Linked DNA regions of Mus musculus: regions 2, 3 and 4 are each reported to be linked to region 1. Evidence: microRNA targets listed by miRTarBase, many of them from high-throughput screens and not tested one by one. Region 1 holds a microRNA gene; each other region holds the end of a gene's coding sequence. Distances are between the middles of the regions.

What was found. The annotated mature microRNA mmu-miR-374b-5p reads AUAUAAUACAACCUGCUAAGUG and lies in region 1 at 1,050-1,071, opposite strand. An mRNA with a match to its seed (bases 2 to 7 or 8) in the 3' UTR can be bound and repressed. Matches are read on the target gene's strand: a 7mer-m8 pairs with bases 2 to 8, a 7mer-A1 pairs with bases 2 to 7 and ends in A, and an 8mer does both.
Region 2: the mRNA of Syp is a reported target of mmu-miR-374b-5p. The part of its 3' UTR that is shown has no 7-base or 8-base seed match.
Region 3: the mRNA of Nadsyn1 is a reported target of mmu-miR-374b-5p. Seed matches in the 3' UTR shown: 7mer-m8 at 2,346-2,352.
Region 4: the mRNA of Lmtk2 is a reported target of mmu-miR-374b-5p. Seed matches in the 3' UTR shown: 7mer-A1 at 758-764.

What each region holds. Positions count from the first base shown.
Region 1 is chrX:103,572,063-103,575,135 of GRCm38, forward strand. It overlaps Mir374b (microRNA 374b), which reads right to left and starts at 1,092; the gene lies at 998-1,092. All of the region lies in intron 9 of Ftx (Ftx transcript, Xist regulator (non-protein coding)), which reads right to left. Mir421 (microRNA 421) reads right to left here and starts at 934; the gene lies at 859-934. Mir374c (microRNA 374c) reads left to right here and starts at 1,023; the gene lies at 1,023-1,071.
Region 2 is chrX:7,648,669-7,651,668 of GRCm38, forward strand. It overlaps Syp (synaptophysin), which reads left to right. Exons shown (of 7, transcript NM_009305.2): 6 at 1-219. The coding sequence ends at 215. Among named protein-coding and RNA genes, the nearest start is that of Prickle3, 7.2 kb to the right of the region's middle.
Region 3 is chr7:143,793,471-143,796,543 of GRCm38, forward strand. It overlaps Nadsyn1 (NAD synthetase 1), which reads right to left. Exons shown (of 21, transcript NM_030221.2): 21 at 2,121-2,586. The coding sequence ends at 2,479. Among named protein-coding and RNA genes, the nearest start is that of Mrgpre, 11 kb to the left of the region's middle.
Region 4 is chr5:144,184,241-144,187,313 of GRCm38, reverse strand. It overlaps Lmtk2 (lemur tyrosine kinase 2), which reads right to left. Exons shown (of 14, transcript NM_001081109.2): 14 at 1-2,598. The coding sequence ends at 2,570. Among named protein-coding and RNA genes, the nearest start is that of Bhlha15, 4.5 kb to the left of the region's middle.

The DNA of each region.
Region 1 (3,073 bases):
TCTCGTGCTTCTTAGAGTCCATGCCAAACCTCAAATCCTTTCACGACCACTCCAAGTTGTCTTCTTCATATGTCTGCCTGCTCCAGTGAAGAGATGGATCCTTTCATAGAAAGCTATTCTAGCAGGGTGTACATTCTGCCCTCTGTGGTGCTTTGAAGGAACACCGTGGCCCTACCTCATGTATTTGAACACTCATATCCCAGGTGGTGGCTACATTTGGGAATGTAATGGGACCTTTCAGAAGGAGAACCTTGCTTGAGGTGTGTCACTAGGGGCAAGACTGGGGTTTTCTACCCTGGTTCCACTTCCTGTTCTCACTTAGCTTACCACACTGAGGCCATGCCTGCTCTGTTACTATATCCTTCTGGAGCTATGAGCAGCAATAAAATTATAAATGGAGGTATGGGGAAAGCGGGTAAAGGAAAATGAATACCAACCATAACAGCACACCCCAGATTTTAAAGACGAAGCTCCTACTCAGTGATCACTGTAGTCCAACCTAGGGAGTAATCGGTAGCGATTATAGTAACAACAACAGAGATGCAACAATGACAAGCAGGCATTTCCAAAACACAGGCATAAATACAGTATTTCATAGAAAATATCACATTTATGGTACATGAGCTATTATCCCTTCCTTCCACACCCTCAGGATAGAAAAGAACCAGATATGGAATCCTTTTTATAAAACACAGTCGAGGCACAATTATCAATCAATTGGAATTGGTTTGAAAGGTAAAATATATCCACTATGATTATACTACACAGAACACAGGAATGAGCTGCAGAAATAAGGACGCTGCGGAGAGCTTGAACGTTGAAGGCCACTGGCAGGAACAAGCTGAGCCCATGGAGATCACAGAGCAGGCGCCCAATTAATGTCTGTTGATGATTCATTTTTTCATTCAACAAACATTTAATGAGGCCTACAATGTGCACCGGATTAGGCACTGTGAGTACAAAGTCACCATCCTTGCCCTTACGGATTAGTTTGATAGACGAGAGCCATAACCTCGGACAATGATAATACAACCTGCTAAGTGCTAGAACACTTAGCAGGTTGTATTATATCCACCCGAGTAGGATTTCTTCAGAGGAACACCACTCCAGGTTGCTGCGCGATCCATGAAGTTCTCCTGATCACCAAGGCCAGCTGTTGTTTCTTGCTCTCCAGGGATGACAGTCACAAGAACTAACATAGCTAGTTATCAGTTAGAATTCGGCTTCAGGTCAACTGTGACCATTCCCCAAACATCCTTTTCTGTGTTTATACAAAAACCTTTATTCAGCTATAACACAAGTTTTCAAAAGCTTTTAACTTAGAACAAAGAAGAAAGGCAATAGATTACTAATCAAGAGCATGAATGGAAGAATCATCGAGTTTCCTACATGGGCTAACTTCACATTAGTGAATCATTAAAAACGTCCATGATCCCTCCCCACAACACCATTGACCATTCAAAAGGTATAATAATAATTAACTTTCTTCTTTTAATTCTTGCATTGCCCGCTCCATCATTAACAGCAACAATAACTAAGATAGCATTGAGTGGACGCAATTAACAAACAGGCCAGCTAATGCCTATGCCCAAACCCTAGAGTCACTGTTTGCATGCACACTTCAGAGCTTCCTTTCCCAAATCTGAACCATTTACTTAAGTAAAATTGTCCTCATTATAAATGCATTATTTGAATAGTAAAGATCAATACGATAGGTCTGAGTAGAAAACATGTTCATAGATTTTGTTGTTTGTTTCAGTCAGGGACTTGTTATGAAACCCAGACTGGACTCAAAGTCAAGATGGTCTTCCTGTATAAGGACCCGAAATGCTGGGATTCTAGGCATGTGCCAACATGCCTTGCTTTATAATGCTTTGAGATCAGAAACCCTAGAGTGGATATTACACATATCTGATGCTTCAAAGTAAAGCAATGAACATTTCAAGTCTCTAAACACTTCAAAAGAAAAATAAAGTTCAGGAGAAAGCCTGCCAGTGACAAGAGACTATTCAGATGAGAATGATGGGGCACCGCTGCTATCTCCGTGTCTTACTGAGGATTGGCAGTTCCTAGATACGGCTCTTCTATGGAGAAGAAACTAAATGTATATCTAAGGAATGAGAGGATGGCAGCTATCCATGACAAAAAATTCCTTCCCTGTAAAACTCTCCTCCATATATCCTACCCCAAACCTCTTAGCGAGTAACTAGTCAGCCTGTAAGGTTTAATCTATATACCTGAATATCTCTCATCTTTGGGACTAATTCAATATCCTGACTACTGAGAGAACTGAATAATAATAATAATAAATGATTTGAACTGTGGACAAACATTTAGATCAACATGAAAAAGTGATCTGAGAGGGAAACAGACTCTTAAAAAACCCCTTGTAGCCCCGACAAAAGTTACTCATGAGTTAAAAGACATTTGTTGGCAGCATTATCAATAAATAATCTTAGCCTGGGGTTTAAGATTATAGGGTAATAAGCACCTTGAAATTGAAGACCCTTAAGGTGTATCTATATTCATAGTTAGAAGTTTAAAATGGACAGACAATCTGGTATAAATCGTCATGTCTCTGAGCCAAGTAGGAAGATGAACAGCAGCTCCAGTGTCTTGAGCCCAATTCTCATCCATACTCAACTAAACACAACCTTGCAGTATAACCCATTTTCTGGCAGTCCCTTAGACAAGGAGCAGAAAATACCTTTAAACGAATTCAAGGCCAATAAGGATGTCTGGATACAAATTTCTCCAACAATATGTTACTGAAAACTTAAGCCTTCAGAACCACTGATTAAAGTTTGCATAAAAGCTACATTACCTAACATAGTAAGAGACTATCAATCTTTCTTTCATTCCTTGTTTACCCTGTTGAGACAGGGTTGCTCGATGTAGCCCTGGCTGTTCAGGAACTGGCTTTGTAGACAAGGCTGGCCTTGGATCATTTCAAGGTAGACAAAGGGAATGTATCCTTGATGTGATTTTCCCATTTACAGATTATGTTTATAAAATACTGTTTGTAATTTTCATTGTCAGCTATTCCAAAAACAAAATGTAGAAGTGAATAATA
Region 2 (3,000 bases), 96 Mb from region 1:
AACCAGCTCCTGGCGATGCCTACGGCGATGCGGGCTATGGGCAGGGCCCCGGAGGCTATGGGCCCCAGGACTCCTACGGGCCTCAGGGTGGTTATCAACCCGATTACGGGCAGCCAGCCAGCGGCGGTGGCGGTGGCTACGGGCCTCAGGGCGACTATGGGCAGCAAGGCTACGGCCAACAGGGTGCGCCCACCTCCTTCTCCAATCAGATGTAATCTGGTGAGTGACAACTGGGCGGATGCGGTAGGCAGGGAGCATACAAGGAGTGAAGTTTGAAGGAACCAATAGATAGGCAGAACCAAAAAAAAAAAAAGGTGAACTTGGTAAAACTAGCCAATGAGAGGAACCGTGAGAAGGAAGGGGACGGAGCAGTGCTCAGAGTAACCAATGAAAGGAGTGTAGGGGCACTTGCGCAGTGGAGAATCACCAAAGTGGTGTAGGTTTCCAGGAAGGGAAGGGGAGGAGGGTCTTTGAAATCATTGGTAAACCAATAGGCGGTAACGCCAGTAGGTGGAAGAAGGTAAACACGTTGGGTTTTGAAGGGCGCTAGCGCTAAAGCAGGATGTAGGTCAGCTGCTACCTCTCCTTAACCCTTTAATGAAAGAGAGAGTTTGGAATTTCAAATGAGGAAAAGGGGAGGGCTGGAGGCCTTAGAAACACGAGTATGCCTTTTTGTTGGGCCTTTAAAAAATGAATGCCGCCGGACGGTGGAGGCGCACGCCTTTAATCCCAGCACTTGGGAGGCAGAAGCAGGCGGAGTTTTTGAGTTCGAGGCCAGCCTGGTCTACAAAGTGAGTTCCAGGACAGCCAGGGCTATACAGAGAAACCCTGTCGCGAAAAAAAAAAAAAAAAAAAAACCCTGCCTGGTGTGATGGAGCACATATATAATCCCAGCACTTGAGAGGTAGAGGCATGGGGATTGCAAGTTCTCGAGTCCTGCGTGGTCAGTATAGCCCAATCCTGTCTTAAACAGAGACGGTAACAGCATCTAGGTGGGAGCAGATGTGGTCCTGGGTGAGCCTTCTACAGCAACCCACATTTAATTGTTTTTAAACTCCTTGGACAGGCTCTGAGACACACCTTTAAGCACAGCTCTGGGGGAATTAGAGACAGGCCTAGGTCTCTTGTTTTGCAAAGCAATTTCCAGGCTGCTTGGAGACCCTGTGTGTGTGTGGGGGGGGGGGGGGGATTCCAGTCCTGTTGGTTCCTATTTTCAAAATCTCTCCAGCCTTTTCCTTTTTTTCACAATTATCTTCCTTAGAGTGCTTCCCAAGTGCCTGTCTTCTATCCTGTTTACAACCCCTTCTACCACCCACCCAGCAGCCTCAAGGATTCTGCTGGGCCACTGGCCTAGATTCAGAAGTCACTGTCCTTCCCTCACTGTCTGTTGTAGCATCTCACTTAAAAGCAAAAACGATGTTAGTGTGCGCCCAGGCCCACCAATGCAGCACTGCCCTATCTTCCCCACAGACAGAATGTGACCTTCGCCTCCTAGCATTGTTTCGGGCAAACTGGCCCGGGCCAGGTCTAGGTGCACTGCAGGGCCTTTGCTTTTGCTTTCTACATACACACCTTTCCCTAGCCATTGCTTTGGTCACTCACTCAATGAGGTTTTTTGCTGGCTGGCTGGCTGTCGGGAGAGTTGCTTTGTTTTACAAGTACTGAGACTTGAATTCTTGCACACTAAGCAAGTGCTCTAACACTGCCTCTTTTTACTTCTTTTTTGTTTGTTTTGTTTTTCCGAGACAGAGTTTCTCTGTGTAGCCCTGGCTGTCCTGGAACTCACTCTGTAGACCAGGCTGGCCTCGAACTCAGAAATCCAGCTGCCTCTGCCTCCCGAGTGCTGGGATTAAAGGCGTGCGCCACCACTGCCCAGTCTCTTTCTACTTCTTATTTTGAGACAGAGTTTACTAAATTGCCCAGATCAATTTGGAACTCATCCTATAACCCAGGTGGGCTGTGAATTTGCAGTACTCTTGTCTCCATCTCCCATGTGGCTGGAACTCATAGGTTTGCACCCACCAGCACACCTGACTTAGTTGTTGATAGTATTTTTGAGACAAGATCTCCTGTAGCCAAGGCTGGCCTGGAGCTCCTTAGGTCACTAAAGCTGATCTTGACTTCCCGACAGTGCCTCTACCTCCCTGTTTTGCTTTGGTTTGAGTTAGGGTCCGATTATGGAACCAAAGCTGGCCTTGAACTTGTTTTCCTCCTGCTTCTGCCTCCTAAATTTTGGCACGGGTATATACCACCAGCTACATATCAAAGGTTGTCTGTCTAAAACACCTCCGCTTGTTATCTCTCGCATCATACCCTATGTTTTTCCTTCTCACAATTTGTAATTTACTAATTTGTGGTTCATATATTACACTAGATTGGAGATCTAAGACTCATTCGTGCTACCCATATATCACTTAGAGTACTTTTTTTTTTTTATTCTTTTATTTAATCGTAAGTTCAAATGTCCATGGAGTCCAGAAGAAAGGTCAGCTTCCTTGGTGATAAATGTACAGATTGTTGTAACCCACCCAGTGTGGGTTCTGTGAGTGAAATGTGGGTCCTCCAGAAGAGCAGCACACATTCTTAACTCCTGAGTCATCTCTACAGGCTCACTTAGGGATTTTTTTTCTTTTTTTTTTTTTTTTTTTTTGATTTTTTGGTGACACGGTCTCTCTACATAGCCCTGGCTGTTCGGGAACTCACTGTGTAGATCAGGCCGGCATCAAACTCACAGAGATCCAACTCCCTCTGCCTCCTGAGTGCTGGTATCAAAGGTGTGCACCATCATGCATGGCCTATTATCGTCTTATATTTGATAATCTACTAATATGTCATGTTCATTGTGAAACCTGTCTCCTTTCCTGATATGATGTAAACCTCACAGAGATAGGGATTTTTTTTTTCTCAATGTGGATTTTCAACAGTGACTAGAACGGTACTGGTTAATGGGCTATTTTGGTTAAGAGAGGGGACCTTAACCGTTCCTTTGGTACCCTGTTT
Region 3 (3,073 bases), not on the chromosome of region 1:
TTACCCTCAGCTTCCTGTCTTGCTCCATAAACCTCCCCTAAGGACCTCCAGGTCTCACCTGCTCTCTTCTGCTTCTGTCAGAGGGATAGTATCTGTCTAGGCTGAGCATTTCAGCCTCTATCCTAGCAGAAAATCTAGGCCAGGTTCCTGGCTTCCTCCGCCATCCTGGTTAGTGGGGTCTGCCTGAGAAATAAAGGAAAGGCCCGAGACCAGAAAAGGGCTCAGTTCCTCCCTAGCTCTCTCTTCTTCCATCCTCCATGTCCCCACAGCTGAGGACCTGTTCTCTCTGAAGCAAGCTTCCCCCAACTTCAGCCCGTTTGCAAGGAGAGACTGTGACAGACTCCCCAGGGTCCTTCCACCTGAGTGATGGGAGCATAGCTTCCCCCGTTGGACGCCGGACACTGGCTATTGGTTTGTTTGTTTGTTTAGACACTGACTATTGGTGATTAAAAAGTCACAGTAGGAAGGTGGGAAGATGAATCAGCAATTAAGTGTTCACTGCTCTTACAGAGGACCTGAGTTCAATTCCTAGAACCCGCATCAGGCTGCTTACAATTGCATGCTTGCTTCCCTGGTTCCAACATCCTCTTCTGATCTTGGCAGCCACCTGTGCACAGAGTATAGTGCATACATCTCTCTCTCTCTCTCTCTCTCTCTCTCTCTCTCTCTCTCTCTCACACACACACACACACACACACACACACACACACACACACACACACACACATACATCTTAATTTAAAAAGTCACACTAAGGACCTCTGGGGTAAGTGCTTCCATTCTTCCATTGTAGGCAATGGCCTCTGTATCCTATCCTGGTTCTATGGTGCTTTCTCCTCAAACTGTGGAACCGGGAGAAAGAAGCACATTAGAACCCTAACTCCACCAGCCTAAAAAATCCAACTGCTGTTATGGCAATAGCCCTTCCTGACAGCTAGTGTGTGCCCATCAGGGACTGACAGGCAGAGAACTCCTGACTCGCCAGGGGCTTCAGTTTGGCTTGGTTTCCCACTGCATGCACCCTACTTGAATTGCTGTCTGTCCATCCCTGCTGGTTCTTTGCCTAGATCCAATCCTGCCTTTTCACTGTAGTAGTTGTTGCCACAGCATCCCTGGCTTCTGTTTTTTATCAATAGAGACTGCTGCACCTTCTTTTTTTTTCAGTTTTGACTTCTTTGACCTCTTGGGAACTCCCTGTCAACTCTTTGTGGTTACTCGATAACTTACACACACACACACACACACGCTATATGATGTTATGCATATTCTGATAGTTAATATTAGTAATTAAGATTGGAGTGAAAGAAACTTTTTGCCTCAGCCAGGTTATCAAGGAAAGCCGGGTTGTCTGGCACATTATTGCCACCAAAACAGCTATCTATACCTTGTGAATATATTGTTATTCAATGAACTCTTAACACTGTGGAAAAGACACAAATGTGTTCATCTTTGTTTCTGATATAGCGAGTAGCCCCTACTCTACACTTGGATAGCCAGCCTAGCAAGAAGGAGCTAAGCCCGTGAGCCAGGCAGAGGATGTGGCTGCATGTGGACAGAGGGACAGATGCGGGGTAGAGGAGAGCCCTGGAAGGTCCTCTGGGCAGAGAAAGGGACCAGATGCCATTCCACTGCATTCAGACCTGGAAGGTTCCCACAGGATAAGGTAAGGGTAAGGATGGCTGGTTCCCTGACACCACACAAGCAAACTTGGCAGTACCATCCAGGTTCCCACTGGAACCCAGGGCAGGGAGGCAGGTGTGGGTGGAGGGGAGTGGCTTCTCAGGTTTTTCAGGTTTAAGATGCCCCTCCTTGGTCAGAAAGCATGTCATGTCACAGTTCTGATACCCAGGCCCATCCCCACATGGGGCATCCTAGCCCATGATGGCCATACACACACCGGAAAGCACTGTGACTGAGCAGCGTGACAGCACACTTGATGCTCAGTGGTTAACAATGCTTGTTACTTTCAGAGGACTGGGGTTCAGTTCCCAGTACCCAGACCAGGTGGCTCACACCTGCCTGCATCTGCAGCTCCTGTGATCTGATGTCCTCTTTTGGCCTTTGGGGCATCCACACACACACATATACATGTACGTACACATCAATAAGCTTATTTTGTGTTTAGAATTTTATGAGTTTTATTTTTACGTGCATGGCTTTTTTGCCTACACGCATGCCTGTGAAGCCACACTGGCTGCTCTCACAGAGGACCCAAGTCCGATTCCCAGTACCCACAATCATCTTTAGCTCTAGTCCCAGAGGACCTAATGCCCTCTTCTGGCTTCTGTGGGTACCAGGCATGCATGTAGGACACAGACATATATGTAAGCAAGAGACTATATATATATAATAATAAAATACACTTTAAAAAGAACATTCTTGTTTATATTTTTTATGTCATTAGAATAAATCTCTCTTCCTTAAAAGGTAACTAAGATCTGGTCAGGCTGTGCCGGCCACCGCTGATCTGGATTCACATTAGGGGTCCTTGGGGAGGAGCTGTTTCCATATAGGTGATGGCTCTTTGAAGTGCTCCAGGACCTGTTCTTCCCGGGTCTGCGATGCTTTCCTCTCAAGCTGTAGAACCTGGAGAGAGAAGCCCATCAGAACCGTCTCTGTCACCCTTCAAAGAACCAGCAGCTGGAACTACCCACCAGGCCTGTGAAGGTTATGAAACGCCCAGGTATAGTGTACAGACGGTGCTGGGGAATAGATTGGCGCAGGGGAGTGCTTGGTGGCCACTGTGGATGGTGAGATTCCAGGTGCCTCTATTTCTGCCCACCGTGAGGCCACACAGCATCAAAATCCCTCTCTGATCTGTAGAAACTGCCGCCAAGTGGGTCTTTCTGGGAGGTAGAGTGGCCAAGCCTTTATTGCTACTAAAGAAGCCAGAGCTTGGTGCTAGAGAGTTAACTTAGTAGATGAGAGCACTTGCTGCTCTTCCAGGGGACCTGAGTTCAAGTCCCAGTACTAATATCAAGCTGTCTGTAAGCCCAGCTCCAGGAGATCCAGCCTCACAGGCACATATCCACAGGCATAGATACACACAATAGTTATAAAGAACAGCAGTAAA
Region 4 (3,073 bases), not on the chromosome of region 1:
AGAGGACTTAAAGTCAGCTTCCAGTCTGGTAGGTGGAGGGTGAGCACTCAAGGGAGGGCAGAAAGAAAAGTCACCAAGCCCACCACATTCCAGCCACAGTCACCACCGGCTCGCTTCACTGCTAACGTTGAGTAACCAGGTTTGGAAAGCCCACCAAGGGCACCTAAGTTATCATTAAAAGATAAAACCAGCTGGGTATGGTGGCAGCATCAGGGGGCAGAGGCAGGTGGATCTCTGAGTTTGAGGCCAGCCTGGACTATACAGCAAGTTCCAGAACAGCCAGGGCTACACAGAGAAACCCTATCTTGAAAAACAAAAAACAAAACCTAAACCAAAACAAAACCCACACTGGATGGCAAAGCACATGCTCACATTTAAAAAATGGGCTGGAGTTTAGTCTACTGAGATTTCTGTCTATTGCTTGAGATTTGGGGAGGATGTGTTGATGCGTGTTATACAAAGTCTTCCCTTCCATGCAACGACACAGAAGATCTATCCCACCCCCACCCCAACTCAATATATAAAATGCTTTTATTTTGGCAATTTACCATGAGAACAATATAGATATAAATATAAACGGGAATTGTATTGTTAAAATCCCCTCAGCATGGTGAAAGATGGCCAGCCCTCAAATGTCAGTAACTCTATCCCAGGCTGGCTGCGAAAGGAGGCTACACATATGGATCCACCTGACTGTAATCAGTGAATCTCAACTTCTGAAACCTGTAATTTGAAAAAAAAAAACAAAAAAAACTTATTATAATTACACCTCCTTTCTTTCTCAACTAAAGCTGGTAGATAGAGGTAAAAAAATAATTAAAAAAAAATCAGAAAGTCCACACAGCAAAAATTCAGTTATGACAATTTTGGCAAAATTACTTTGAAATGCCCTGTTTTTAATATACATGTCACAAAATCCAGTGCTTTCTACGGAGTCCAGGCAGGCACAGTCTGCACCAAGGATGGGAAAAGGAGACTCTGTTTTAAAATTTCTTCTGTTGATCGTAAAGTTATTGCTTAGTATAAAAAAAACGCATGGATCGAATCAGAGTTGATGATAAAGGTCATGATTTGTTAGGTGAACTCACACCGACACCCACACTTGCACTCTGCAGGAGAGTCCAAGTCCTTCTGATTGATAGCAGGATGTCCTGGCCAGGGCCTGGAGACTCAACCCATTGTCACACTGGAGCCTGGACAGCAGGGGCAGCACCGGGATATTTGGGGCGAGGAGCTCAGTGAGAAGAGCCACGCCAGCAGGTGCAGCTCCCGCCCAGCATGGCTTCGCCACGCTGCCATGGCCACCAATACTTGCTTGGGGTAGGAAAGCGAGGTCTCCCTCTGTGTTAGGGACAGCAGACTCCTCCGATGATGTACTGAAGCTACGCTGAAGATGTGAAATCCCTTTCAGAACAAGAGGAGAGCTGGGTGCTTGGTACAGGAAAGGGGCCATGAGGGCTGCTGGAGGCCCTGCTGGGGTCTCTGCCCTGCTACTTGCAGCTACAGGGGCTGGCTGTATCCTGGGGGCTATGGCCAGGGATGGCTTCTTCCCAAACAGCTCCCTCAGCAGCACCCAGAGTGGACAAACTGCTCTTCTCACTTACAGCTCTGTGGGGACCAGTGTCTCAGAGGTCCCACCTGCCTGAGACGCAGAGCTCCCGCAAGCTGGCCTCTGTGCTGAGCAAGTGGTGCATGGCCTCATCTCGCCAGAAAAGGACCCTGGGCACTGAGTGATGGGTGCACCTCTTCAGGGATTTCTACCAAAAGAATTTCAAAGCACGAGAGGCAGGGCAGGCTGCTCAGAGTACCCACCTTATATAGAAACATGCTCGATGCAATCAACGAAACAGAACAGCAGTTTTGGCCTCATCAAAAATATGTCCTCTAAGAACATAAAACACAACCTAACTCCCAGAATCAAAAGGGCCCGAGGGAGGGTACCTGTGAACGGTTCCCGCGGGTGGGTCTAAGAAAGAAGAACACTCAAAATACCGAAGCTTTACAGTGCCATGCAGAGCAGACACCCAAGGAGACAGAGACAAAAACAAAAACAAAAAAGAAAATCAAACCAGCGGTCAGCACCAGCTTGGCCTGCCATATCTTCCTTGGATAATTTACGATGCTGTACAATATTGGGAGCTCAGAACACTCACCCACAGTGCAGTCAAAGAGCAATTAGTGATTTCCTAAAGACAATAAATATGGCTCACTTGTGAGCACTCCCTCCCCTGGTGCGCCTGCCCCTCTGTGGCACCTGTGGCGAGGCAGACATCCACACCCACACACCCCACACAGACCCACGGCCTGAGGTGCTCAGGTCCTCCAATACTCGTGAGCCAGAGCAGTGTGGCAGTGTGGCCACTTCGGCAGGATGCCCAGCACGAGTGCAGGAGCAGCCCAGGCGAGCGGGCAGACGAGCGCTGCAGAGGGAGTTGCTTCCTGGCGTGGTGGCCCCGCTTTCCATCACTCCTGAGCCGCTCACTGTCTGGTGCCAGTCAGCATGGAGTGGATTGCGTTGCTCAGGTGGACAAGCAGGAGCGCTGCTGGCTGGGAGAGTGTCTACAGCCAACTAGTCCTTGTCTCCGTCTTCACTGCTGCCTATGTCCAGACAGAAGCAACATAACAGCGCAGGTCAGATTTAAGAGCCGACTACCCAGAGAGTGCCAGCATGGAGGCGAGCAGACCAGAACGGCAGGAAAAGGAAGCATAGCTGGTGCCCTCCTGTGCTGCCCTGTCTCCCCTCCTTCCCACAACCTGCAGGGCTGCACACACAGGTGCTTGGCTCCCACAGAGGCTCCATGGTCACACTCGGGCGCTGACCTGTACACCTGCCCCCAGAGATCCTCAGGCTCTGGCATTATCTCATCGGCACAGGTGAAAACCAAGTAAACAAAAGTGCTTTATATCCTACAGTTATTATTTGATCTGTAAACTTCAAGTAAAAAATGTACCTATTAATATTTATCTCCTGATCTTGGTATAGGGAAAGGGGCCCATATGTTCAGGTATTGCTACTTCAAATGGCCCCTGCTGTGAGTTCCCAGCTGGCCGTCCAGTATCACACAGAGACCAA